Rattus norvegicus: one gene and its partners. The protein of the gene in region 3 binds, or shares a complex with, the protein of the main gene of each other region. Links are inferred from orthologs where the notes say so. Each region holds a gene or a part of one and is shown on either strand. Other genes may lie near its edges.

Region 1 (4,411 bases), on a different chromosome or scaffold from region 3:
TCCTGCTACCTGACATCACCCCACATCCCAATCAAGTCAAGTTCTGCTGTACCCTACCTTTGGCCCCAAGCTCTGGGCCTTGCCGATTTTACACACTGGGGTTTAGATCAGCCTACAATAGCAACCCAGTCTACAGCTCCTCAGACAGATACCTGGCTTACTTCTTACCCCTTTCTGCTCAAATGTCTGTTGTCTCTCCGTGGATACACAGCCCTAACCAATTTTTATTTCATTTTACAGGGTCTCACTCTGTGGTTTTGGCTGACCTGGAACTCGATTAGAAACTGTGGGGCTCTGAAGTCACTGAGATGCACTTGCCTCTTCCTCCTAAATCCTTGGATTCAAGATACTTGCCACGAGGCCACATGCCAATTTTTGTTTGTTTTGTTTTTTGAGACAGGGTCTCATCTCCAGTAGCTGAAGCCGGTCTTGAATTTCATTTAGATTCTCCTGCCTCTATTTTCCCAGTGCAGGGATTACAAACATGGGACACCATGTCCAGGCTCATCCACAGCTTGATCTGACTACATGCACTCTCTCCTCGGCACCTGAGGGACGGGTACCAGTACAGCATGCACTCTACCGACTGCCTTCTTCATGAGTAAGGTGGCTCTGACAATGACAGAAGTTTAGCACCTTGAAGCTTGCAGATGATGGTCAGTAAGTCCACCCATGCCCGAGATGGTGGGTTTCTGCGGCTTCCTAGAGGCTGGTCCACACGGTCCGCTCTGCAGTGACATCTTTCTCCTCCGCACCCAGGTTTCACAAATATACTATTGCTCCTTTCAAGCACTAGAATGCAGGCCACACGTGACGATGGTCCTAGGCTGGCATCCATTTCCCTTTTACGCCAAACCTGGGTGAGAGATGTTAGTGCCCACCAGGAAGGAGGCGTGGCTCGCGGTTGCTCCGGACACCCGAGAGAGCTGCGGGGATTGTTTCTCTAGGCTAATCTCGGGTGCCGTTCCCGAGCCTCACACACTCCGCCAGTCTTGGCAGAGACGTCTCGGCATCTCTGTCCAAAGACGCAGCGCCTGTTCGGACTGTAAAGGCACTCAGTTCTCAGGGAGCCGGCTTTGCCCAAAGGTAGAGACGAACCAGTCCCTGGACGCAGGAATGTGGCCCAATCAAGCAGCAGCGCCTGAGATTAGTCTCTCAAATTGCTGGGAAACAAGCTAGCCCTCAGTAGAGAATACTGCGCCTGCGCGGCATCCGGACAGGGGCGTGTCAGGGGCGTGTCCACTGTGGCAGGGGAGGGGAAGGAGCTGGATGGACAAGCGTGTCTACAGCCTTGAGGACGAAGTAGAGGCGGGGCCGAGGGTGTGTCCACAGCTACTAAGAACCCCGACTGGGCTAGGTTGGAGGGGCGTGTCCACTGGCCCGCAGAGGAGCAGGGCCGGGGCGGGGCTGAGGGTGTGTCTAGAGCGTCTGAAGAAGGGGACAGGTACGGAGCCTGCGGGAGGAGGGCGGGGCGAGCGGGGGGTGTTACGGGGCGGTGCCTACTGCGCTTGCGGAGAAAGGTGGGGCTGCGGGAGGCGGTAAGTGCGCCTGCGTGACGCGGCGGCGGCGCGTTAGCTCCCACCCGTTGGCAGCCGCCTCAGCTGCCGCTTCTCCGGGGCCGCGCACGCGCCGCCGCCGCCGCCCCCGGCCCGTGCTCGCACCGCGCCTGCCTCGCGCCTACCTTGGCCGGCGCTTGCCCGCTGCCGCCTGCCCGGCCTGCTCGGCGCCTTCTCGGCCTCGGCTCGGCGCCCGGAGCATGCAGCAGCAGCCTGGGTGGCGGCGGCGGCCGTGAAGTAAGGGCCGTGCGCCCGGGCGGGCGGCGCGGGAGGGCGGCGGCGTCTTTGTTGCGGCCGGGCCGCCGCGGCCTTTGTCTGCAGATGGTGGACGCGGGCGGTCGCTCTGCCGCCGAAGGCTGGAGGAGGATGGAGGCACCCCCGGAGGGCGCGGACCTGGTGCCGCTGGACCGCTACGACGCGGCGCGGGCCAAGATCGCCGCCAACCTGCAGTGGATCTGTGCGAAGGCCTATGGCCTAGGTGGGCGGGCGCGGCGGGGTCCGGGGTCGGGGGATGGGAATACAGGGGACCGAGGGGGAACGAATCCGGTTCCGGGATGGTACTAGAGGGTAGCGGACGGGGGACGCACTGGTTTTGGATGCGACCGGGAGGTGTCGGACGGGTGCGGGAGCCGGGGGATGGGACCAGAGCCCAGGTCGGACTGGGACGGGGGATGGGACCAGAGGGGAACGCGGCGGTTGCTGAATAGGACGGGAGGGAGACCGACGGGGAACGAACTAGACCAGGTGTGAGACCAGAGGGGTCAGAATAGGGGACTGACATGCCGGGGGATGAGACCACAGGTTTGGACGCTGGACGGACAGGGCAGGTTGGGACCAGAGGGGATCTGACAGGTCGGGGGCTGGGGAGGATAGGACGCACGGGAGTGGGGTGTAAGGTCTAAGGACAAGGGATGGAGACAGAGCCAAGGTTGAGAATGAGGCCGGTGACAGGGCCAAGGCGCGCCTTCGCGTGGTGTCGGTTCAAGTCTTGCTGTTCTGGCAGCGGCCCAGGTGAGCGAGCGCTGAGGTAGCCCAGGGTCGGTCCAGGCACGGGACTGCGCTCGCGTGTCATCCGTGCTCTGAGTCTCGGGTGGGCGGAGGGTGCCTATCATGTGCAGTGTTATTCTTTGTCGACTGGGCTGGTCCTCTGAGTCCAAGGACTCTTACCTGAATAACCACTGCCTTACTGCATCAGGATGGCTAGAAGGCTGGGTAGTTTGAGACTTAGTCCCAGCCACTCTGGTTTATATATTATGAATTTTGGTTTGGTACTTAACACGAGCTATTGAATACTCCAAGATAAACTGTGTGTAACATAGATTGTGCAGAAACCATCATTATCTCCTTTGGTTAATTCCCGTTGTGAAGAACAAGGTAACCTTGTAATGAAGCCCCATTTATGAAGCCTAATATGCTTAGTAGGATTAAGACGCTCTAGTGTGGTACTCTGGGAACTTTGCAGACCAAACAGTGCTGTAATGAGTTGACTGGGAAGCTCTAGTATCAGGACAAGTATCTTGTTTTAGGCATAAAGCTATGATAAATGAAGCATAAATTATCCTCGTGTTGGCAAAAACATTACCTGAAGACTGGGTTACTGAGATAACCCTTTCAGGAAAGGGTTAGGTGACCACATTGGAAAACTTGCTAAGCAGGTGTTCTCTGTGACAGTGGCCTCCAACTAGTCATAGTTTTGTGAGCCTTGGGATTAAATAAACTGCTTACACTGTGGTGTAAAACTAGCAGTGAGGAAGAAATTCTTTTATAATTTTCAGTTTGAAATTCTTTAACAATTTTCAGTCTTACAATTCTTGGTCACTGTTTCTGTTGAGTTGTAGGTTTTGCAAGGTGGTAAGGAAAGATTGCTGTGTACCTGGCTTCACTGACTTAAACAAGTGCAATTGAAGATGGGTGGCGGTGGCCCATGCTTTTAATCCCAACACTTCACACAGAGAAACCCTGTCTTGAACACCTGCGCCGCCCCCCCCCCCCCCCAATGTGCAATTGAGGAAAGGTGTTTGATACCTAACTAGAGCGGATAGCGAGTGCCTGGCCACCAGTCTTACCCTCTTTCCTTTGCTGATTCCACACACCCGGCTCTGCCCCACCTCCCACCTAATGTCATCATTGTTTTGCTTGACATTATTCTAAGCTATATCATTCAATTTTGCCTTTCTTTCTTTCTTTCTTTCTTTCTTTCTTTCTTTCTTTCTCTCTCTTTCTCTCTCTTTCTCTCTTTCTCTCTTTCTCTCTTTCTCTCTTTCTAAAAACGAACAGTATGTGCCATGGAATTTCCTAGGTAGAGCAGTCTGGCTTTGAACTCACAGAGATCCATTGCCTCTGTCTTCTGAGTGCTGGAATTAAAGACGTGTGCTCATTTTTTGTATTTCACAATTTATTTAATGTACATTGGTGGTTTGACTGCATGTATTTCTGTGTGACAGAGGTCAGATCCCCTGGATTAGGAGTTACAGACATTTGTGAGCTGACACTTGGGTGCTGGGAATTGAACCTGGGTCCTCTGGAAGAGCAGCTAGTGCTCTTACCCACTGGGCCACCTCTCCTGCCCTGTAGTTGTTCTTAGGTTCATCCTAACTGTCAGCATCCTTTTCTTCACTGTGTAGTATTTGGCCAAGGCTAGCCTACCCCGTGTCCTGGTGTAGTCTGTATTCTCAGGCAGAGCTCTCATCCTATCTACAAGTCTTCACTCTGGTGTATATGGATTGTTTGAACCTGTGTGCTGGGGTTGGAACTCAGGGCTTTGCTAGGCAGGTGCTCTTCTGTTTTCAAGGTCGGCATGGGGAAGTAGTTACTTGGATTCTGTTTCCTTAACAAGGTGAGCCTGTTTGGTTTTG
Region 2 (2,741 bases), on a different chromosome or scaffold from region 3:
GCTTGTTCATACCTAAGCAGATACTCTATCCTTTGTGTTTGTAAAAGTAGTCCAGGCAAACATGCCTGCTCACTCGTGGACTGACCTGCATTCTTCCTTTCGAGTTTATCTCCAGTTCTTTTCTGATTTTTTTTTGACAGTGAAGGGGTTCTGAGAGGCCAAAAAGAATCCTGTGGGGTTCCAGGGTGGGTGGCAGGCTAGATAGATCCTAGGAATCGCTTGAAATTGTAGGGATAAAAGTTCAGAAGATAGACCAGGTGAGGGAGGCAAACACAAGACACTAGTTCCTGTCCGTTCTCACCAGACAGGAATCTTGTTGCTCTAGGCCAGAAATGGTCGTGATTGGAGCATTTGCATGACTGCCAAGATGATTGGCTTGGGCATTAGGATGTTGGCGCAAGGTGGCACGTGCTTGGTCTCTATAAGGGCTGGGACACGCAGTATGAACTGGGGTGCAGGAGATGAGAAAATGGGGAGAAAAGACATTGCCCTGAACCAAGACGTCTTCATGTTATCTGGAGTTGGCTAAGAATGAATTTAGTTAGGTAGGGCTTGGGATGACTTGTATGAAGTGAATTTGGGGGCGGGGCATGAAGATCTAAGAGTTCTGCCACCTCCCCATCCTCCCTGCAGGCACCCACTACCTGCGTGGTGTGAATAATTCGCGACAACCATGGCACAGTACTGAAGGCAGACAGCAATACGGCCTTCGGCCAGCCAATCCCACTGAGGAGGGCCTGGCCAGCCTGCATAGTGTGCTGTTTCGAAAGCAACCGTTCCTGTGGCGTGCCGCCCTGCTCTACTATACCATCCACCAGGCGGCGCACATGTCCTTCCGCCAGCTCTTCCAGGATCTGGAGCAATACGTGCAAGATGAGGATGTACGCTGGGAGTACTGCGTCCGTGCCAAGCGAGGACAGACGGATACCTCACTGCCAGGTGGGAACTGTGGAGTCGGGAGAATGCTCAAGCCGGGGCAAGGTGAAGGGTGGCTTTTGGGTAAGGCTCGATTGGTTATCCCTCTCACAGGCTGCTTCAGCAAGGACCAGGTGTACCTGGATGGCATTTTGCGCATCCTGCGGCACCGTCAGACCATCGATTTCCAGCTGCTGACCTCGCTGGGCAAGGTAAAGGGCTGAAAGGCCCAACTAGCTCATCCTTCTTTGCCCTTCTGAGTCATATTCGATGAAGGCCTGAATACTTGGGAAGGCAGATAAAAGGAAACAAAGTTTTGGTAGCCCAGATCCGGTGTGTGACCTAGCCTGCAGGTGTGTGCATATGTGTTAAGGGAGGTGAGCGTTCCAAGACAGGGAGCAGTCAAGAAGTTTTGGGGAAGAGGGTGGGAGAAATGGCCAGGAATCAAGGCCCTCATCCTGTACCAGGTTAGGGAAAGCAAAGGGGATCAGGAGGGCTATCCTAATGTGTGGACATGGATTTATTTTCTTTAGGAGGTTCCTATTGGATGTCCTATGGGAAGTGCAGGAAATGAAAGGCCTAGATAGGCCAGAGCAGAAGGTCTTCCATCGCTCTGACAGAATTGATAATGGTCTGACCTAACCGGTCAGTGGCCACTACAGATAATAGAACTCTTTATCTGTTGGACTCTCTGAATGGGGACAGACAGCCGACATTCAGCAGTCTTTTGTTGGATATGGGAGATAACCTGAGAGAATCCCAGGTATCCACTGAATACTATTTAGAGGTGAGAGGATAAGCCAGGCTGCAGAGGAATGCATTGTTCAAGGTAGATAAAAGATGGAGAGAGAAAGAGAAGACCCAGGATAGAGCCTGAAGGTATCTAATGTAGGAGTCAATGAAGAATGAAGGCATCATCTTGGGAGCAAGTGGCCCTGGGCCATCAGGCACTTGAAAGCCAGGCACTTTGATTAGCCCTGAGGCTTAGTTTTCTTCCTGTAGGTCTCCTATGAAGATGTGGAACAACTGCGACCCCATGGGGTACTAGATAAAACCAGAGTGCCCCACTTCATGAAGGACTTGGATCGTTACCGGCAGCAGCTGGAACACATCATGACTACCAACCGGCTAGATGAAGCGGAGCTGGGCCGCCTGCTGCCTGACTGATATTGGCTAAGGGTTATAGACAGAAGCTCTTGCAGAGGTCTCAGATCAGAATACGAAGTTCTTTATGGTTCCATAGCCTAGGTGTTTCTTGGGGGCATTTGGGAGGACAGGAGCATCTTGGGAAGATGAGAAGCAACATCAGAAGGTTTTTGTCCTTGCTAACCTTCCTGGGGCCTGTGAACTAGCCGCAGCATGTCACATAAACTCCTGAACAGAGGAGGGGGGGGGATAGGATGGGAGCTGAGTGTGAATAGAAATGTGGGTTGGTTTGGGAATAGAAAATTGTTCCTGCATGAGATGGCTCTGGGTGTCTGGTACCACTCTTTCATTCCCCCAACCAAACCTGGTCTATTGGTGCTCCTTCAACATTCTTACTGTCTACCTCTCACTGGGGCCGGTGGGGGTGGGGATCCTCTCTGAGGTGACTTGCCTGAGCATAGGGTTCTGTCTGTCACTGAAGGACCCAGCTGGGCTGGGCTTTGCCGTTCAGCATTTTGTCTGTCTCACCGGTCATACATTGTTCCACAATTGCCTCCATGTGTTATTCCATGCCTCCAGGTGGGGCTGGGAAGCAGCAGCTCCTTGTGCAGGGGCAAGACACTTTGGAAAGTACCATTTGTTCCTAGACCCCTTTCTGACCACACACACAGACCCACTGA
Region 3 (4,336 bases):
TTTGGTGTGTGTGTGTTATGTGTGTGTGTGTGTGTGTGTGTATACATAGCACATAGGTGAGCATCATATGATTGAGTGATCAACTTTAGTTTTGTTTTAAATTTATCACACCTACCAATTTATATATGGGTGTATTTCTGTTTTCCCCCTTGTTTGCTTGTTTTTGTTACATGGTTTCACTGACCTGGAACTAATCCAGAACGGCTATTCTGGCTAGCCTCTGAGCCTGTGTCTCTGCAGCACTGGCAATACAAGCACCAGCCACCATGACTGTCCCCCCACGCCCTCTGGGCTCTGGGGAATCAAGCTCCGGTCCTAACTGAACCATTTCCTAGACCCCCAAATTACCCACAAAACTGCTGCTGAAGCTTCTAGACCCTCCTCTTCTAACAGGGGGCATCCTGCTCTCAACTCCTGTCTGCTCCTTCTCCTAATTAACTGGCTACAGCATTCCTTTACTGTGACTCCTGGAATTGTGTTTAGCTGCACTATGACAAGAATCCCAGGGCACCTGACTAAGAGGCGCCTGAGGATCTGAAAGGGGGAGTTCTCAGGCTGCACAGCTGCAAAGGATCTGTGCTCTGTGCCGCCTCTGCCGGGAGGACATTTTGAATAGTTTAGTAATTGCAATGTGAGGGCAATTTTAAAGCCACACGTTAGCGCCGATCACCTTATGAATAGTAGTTTATGGTCCTGAAATAAATTCGGGGGTAGTTTATAATCCGATATGCAACACAGCGCCAAGCAATCCTTTTAGGAAACTTACATAGCACAAGAAATCCCTAATATTCTTCTGTGAGACATTTTCCTTCTAGTTTCGCCTCACTTGTTCCATTTAGCTACTGCCTCAAATGTTTAGAAATCTTTTCAAAGAGTCCTTACTTAGGTTATTCCATCCAGTTGATAGCTTAAGGCTAAAGATGGGGCCTACTCTGCCCTTACTTCAATAAGCTCAATATTTCATGCTTAGCTACTACCACCCTTTCCTTGGGTGATTGAAAGTGCTTCCAGTACTTGATACCCTTAGTATCGAGGACGAGCAATGTATCAAGTATGGCGACTCGCCTTCAAAGGGGGCTTTCACCGCAGGTAAGTTCAAAATGCACAGGCGTTAAAGGAAGCAAGGAGCAAGATAAAACTCACTCATCCAGTGTGACCACATGAATAGAATCAACCGAGCTATCTGGACCACAAGCATTTTAGGATGCTTCTTCACCTTTAAAACTGCGGGCCGGCCAGGTTCCAGGGTTCGCCCACATAGTGTGAATCTCCCCTAGTTACCTCTGCCGCAGCTCCCGCTGCCGCCCCGCATTGCAGCGGCGCGCCCCTGGCTGCAGCAAGGCGCGCGCCCCGGCGGCGGCGGCCCCGCCCCGCGGGCCCACGCAGGGAGGGGGCTCGGAGCCGAGCCCGCCTCTGCGGCGGTCAGGCCGGGCGCCCAATGGACGCGGCTGGTCCGGGGAGGGACCGTGACCAGCGGTCGCGCCCGCCCCTCCTCAGCTGCTACTTAAGAGGCTCCGGCGCGGGCGCCTCCGCCTCATTGCGTTACTTACCTCGACTCTTAGTTGTCGGGAACGGTAACCGGGACCCGGTGTCTGCTTCTATCACCCTCGCCTTCTAACCCGTAGCTATCATGGTGAGTGGTTTGGTCTGGAGAGGGGAGATGGAGGGGAGGGAGGAGCTCGCCCGGGGCTATGATCGAGGGGTGCGCGTGCGGAAGAGCTTGGGCCCCATGATGCTGGGGACGTCCGTGGTTTGGGGCAGAAGGGAAGCACTCGGATCTCTCTGGAATCCGGTCTCCAATCATCACACCCTGCGCAAAACCTGCAGCGTGGCGCTTTCAGACTGCTGTCTTCCCGCGGGGGCCCTTCCCCCATCCCTGACTTGCTTGCTGCTTTTCGGGCGCGCGCGGCTTTTCCCCGCCCTCACTTCCTCTTTAGCGCGAAAAGGCGGGGGCGGGAAGGCGCCGGAGACAAAGGACGCATGCGCAACCGTTACATTCCCGCCTGAGAGCGGCGGGAAGAGCCTCCGCAGTGTGCGCGTGCGCGCTGAGGCACTGCGGGTTTAATTCGTTTGGGTGTGTCTCCAGTTGGATCCCTGTTTTAAGCTGAAGTTCAAACGTAGGATCTCTACCATCCTAAACCAGCTACTGCCGAGTTGCAATCTCAGCCACGACCTTTTTGCTTTTAATGAAAGCAATAAGGAATTTGGGCAATATTCCCTCAAATCTCCAGTCAGAAATTTGGGTGGGACCAGATGATGACATTGACGTGTTTTGAGGGAACAGAAATCGGATCGCAGCAGTTGATAATCCCCTGCTGAACCAAGACAGATGTGGAGGAGCTGAACTCTGTGCCTACAAATAGAGGAAGCTGAAAGCCAACAGCCTCCAGGCTGCTCAAGGCGCATGCTCTCAAAATTGCTCCTTTACCACCTGCGGCAGAGCCCAGCCCCTTGTCCCTGCAGCGAGGCACCTCCCTGCCCTGCTCCAGCTGAGTGCTTCCTGTGCCTAGAATTGTTCTGAAATCTGGACACCAGAGCAAAAGTAGAGCTGAGACGGTAGATGAACGGCCTTTGTATATTGGTATTCAGAAAGGGAAAGCCGTAACCACGCCTAAGTGGCCGAATTTGTCACATTGTGCCACTAAGAACTCAATTGCTTGCAACATTGCTAATATTCTTTTCTTCCTTCCCTTCCACAGCGTGAGTGCATCTCCATCCACGTCGGCCAGGCTGGTGTCCAGATCGGCAATGCCTGCTGGGAGCTCTACTGCCTGGAACATGGCATCCAGCCTGATGGCCAGATGCCAAGCGACAAGACCATTGGGGGAGGAGATGACTCCTTCAACACCTTCTTCAGTGAGACAGGAGCTGGCAAGCACGTGCCCCGGGCGGTGTTCGTAGACCTGGAACCCACAGTTATTGGTAAGTGGACTGGGGGCTTCCCTGGGGCAGTCCTTCTTGGTCACATACTCAGAATGTCTCTCCAGACCCGGAAGGGTGAGTGAGCTTGTGGGGTCCTTGGTGGTGATGGCTGACGTCTTCTCCTTTTTCAGATGAAGTTCGCACTGGCACCTACCGCCAGCTCTTCCACCCAGAGCAGCTCATCACAGGCAAGGAAGATGCTGCCAATAACTATGCCCGTGGCCACTACACCATTGGCAAGGAGATCATTGACCTTGTCTTGGACAGAATTCGCAAGCTGGTAAATACCCTATGTGGATGGGTTTAAAATGCAGTGGGAGGGTGTCTTGGTATCTGTCAAAATGTGTCAGGTCTTTCCTATCAGGTAGAGATGGCTCACAGTCTAAAGGAATTGAAATAGTGTATGCCCTGGTAATAAGACATTATATGTCCTTTTCTCCCACAGGCTGACCAGTGCACGGGTCTCCAGGGCTTCTTGGTTTTCCACAGCTTTGGTGGGGGAACTGGCTCTGGGTTCACCTCCCTGCTGATGGAGAGGCTCTCTGTCGACTACGGAAAGAAGTCCAAGCTGGAGTTCTCCATTTACCCAGCCCCCCAGGTTTCCACTGCTGTGGTTGAGCCCTACAATTCCATCCTCACCACCCACACCACCCTGGAGCACTCTGATTGTGCCTTCATGGTAGACAATGAGGCCATCTATGACATCTGTCGTAGAAACCTCGACATTGAGCGCCCAACCTACACTAACCTTAACCGCCTTATTAGCCAGATTGTGTCTTCCATCACTGCTTCCCTCAGATTTGATGGGGCCCTGAATGTTGATCTGACAGAATTCCAGACCAACCTGGTGCCCTACCCTCGCATCCACTTCCCTCTGGCCACTTATGCCCCTGTCATCTCTGCTGAGAAAGCCTACCATGAACAGCTTTCTGTAGCAGAGATCACCAATGCCTGCTTTGAGCCAGCCAACCAGATGGTGAAATGTGACCCTCGCCATGGTAAATACATGGCTTGCTGCCTGCTGTACCGTGGTGATGTGGTCCCCAAAGATGTCAATGCTGCCATTGCCACCATCAAGACCAAGCGCAGCATCCAGTTTGTGGACTGGTGCCCCACTGGCTTCAAGGTTGGCATTAATTACCAGCCTCCCACTGTGGTACCTGGTGGCGACCTGGCCAAGGTCCAGAGAGCTGTGTGTATGCTGAGCAACACCACAGCCATTGCTGAGGCTTGGGCTCGCCTGGATCACAAGTTTGATCTGATGTATGCCAAGCGTGCCTTTGTGCACTGGTATGTGGGTGAGGGCATGGAGGAGGGAGAGTTCTCTGAAGCCCGTGAGGACATGGCTGCCCTAGAGAAGGATTATGAGGAGGTTGGTGTGGATTCTGTGGAGGGTGAGGGTGAGGAAGAAGGA

Evidence for each region.
Region 1: the proteins of Tuba1b (region 3) and Camsap1 are in contact, whole or in part, in a cryo-EM structure (PDB 6QUS), measured with the Homo sapiens proteins. The link is inferred for Rattus norvegicus from reciprocal best matches to the Homo sapiens genes TUBA1B and CAMSAP1. Residues at the interface, in NP_006073.2 of Homo sapiens: Lys112, Glu113, Asp116, Val409, Gly410, Glu411, Gly412, Glu415; in NP_056262.3 of Homo sapiens: Ser1471, Ser1472, Lys1473, Lys1557, Ile1568, Pro1569, Ala1570, Ser1574, Val1575, Ser1576.
Region 2: the proteins of Tuba1b (region 3) and Matcap1 are in contact, whole or in part, in a cryo-EM structure (PDB 7Z6S), measured with the Homo sapiens proteins. The link is inferred for Rattus norvegicus from reciprocal best matches to the Homo sapiens genes TUBA1B and MATCAP1. Residues at the interface, in NP_006073.2 of Homo sapiens: Asp345, Trp346, Arg422, Glu423, Ala426, Ala427, Glu429, Lys430, Asp431, Glu433, Glu434, Val435, Gly436, Val437, Asp438, Ser439, Val440, Glu441; in NP_001035805.1 of Homo sapiens: Lys219, Cys220, Trp223, Val226, Arg227, Gly237, Glu238, Val239, Val240, Val241, Gln242, Leu243, Met253, Met254, Val255, Glu256, Asn257, Ser258, Arg259, Pro260, Thr261.

The regions. Positions count from the first base shown.
Region 1 is NC_086021.1:29,201,342-29,205,752, reverse strand, and holds the start of Camsap1 (calmodulin-regulated spectrin-associated protein 1), read left to right. Parts: upstream 1-1,568; 5' UTR 1,569-1,877; coding exon 1,878-2,034; intron 2,035-4,411. UniProt on the Homo sapiens protein: Key microtubule-organizing protein that specifically binds the minus-end of non-centrosomal microtubules and regulates their dynamics and organization. Specifically recognizes growing microtubule minus-ends and stabilizes microtubules.
Region 2 is NC_086037.1:50,068,427-50,071,167, reverse strand, and holds the end of Matcap1 (microtubule-associated tyrosine carboxypeptidase), read left to right. Parts: intron 1-633; coding exon 634-939; intron 940-1,029; coding exon 1,030-1,127; intron 1,128-1,917; coding exon 1,918-2,082; 3' UTR 2,083-2,153; downstream 2,154-2,741. UniProt on the Homo sapiens protein: Tyrosine carboxypeptidase that removes the C-terminal tyrosine residue of alpha-tubulin, thereby regulating microtubule dynamics and function. Also able to remove the C-terminal phenylalanine residue of alpha-tubulin TUBA8.
Region 3 is NC_086025.1:131,969,783-131,974,118, reverse strand, and holds the start of Tuba1b (tubulin alpha-1B chain), read left to right. Parts: upstream 1-1,531; 5' UTR 1,532-1,630; coding exon 1,631-1,633; intron 1,634-2,699; coding exon 2,700-2,922; intron 2,923-3,053; coding exon 3,054-3,202; intron 3,203-3,367; coding exon 3,368-4,336. UniProt on the Homo sapiens protein: Tubulin is the major constituent of microtubules, protein filaments consisting of alpha- and beta-tubulin heterodimers. Microtubules grow by the addition of GTP-tubulin dimers to the microtubule end, where a stabilizing cap forms.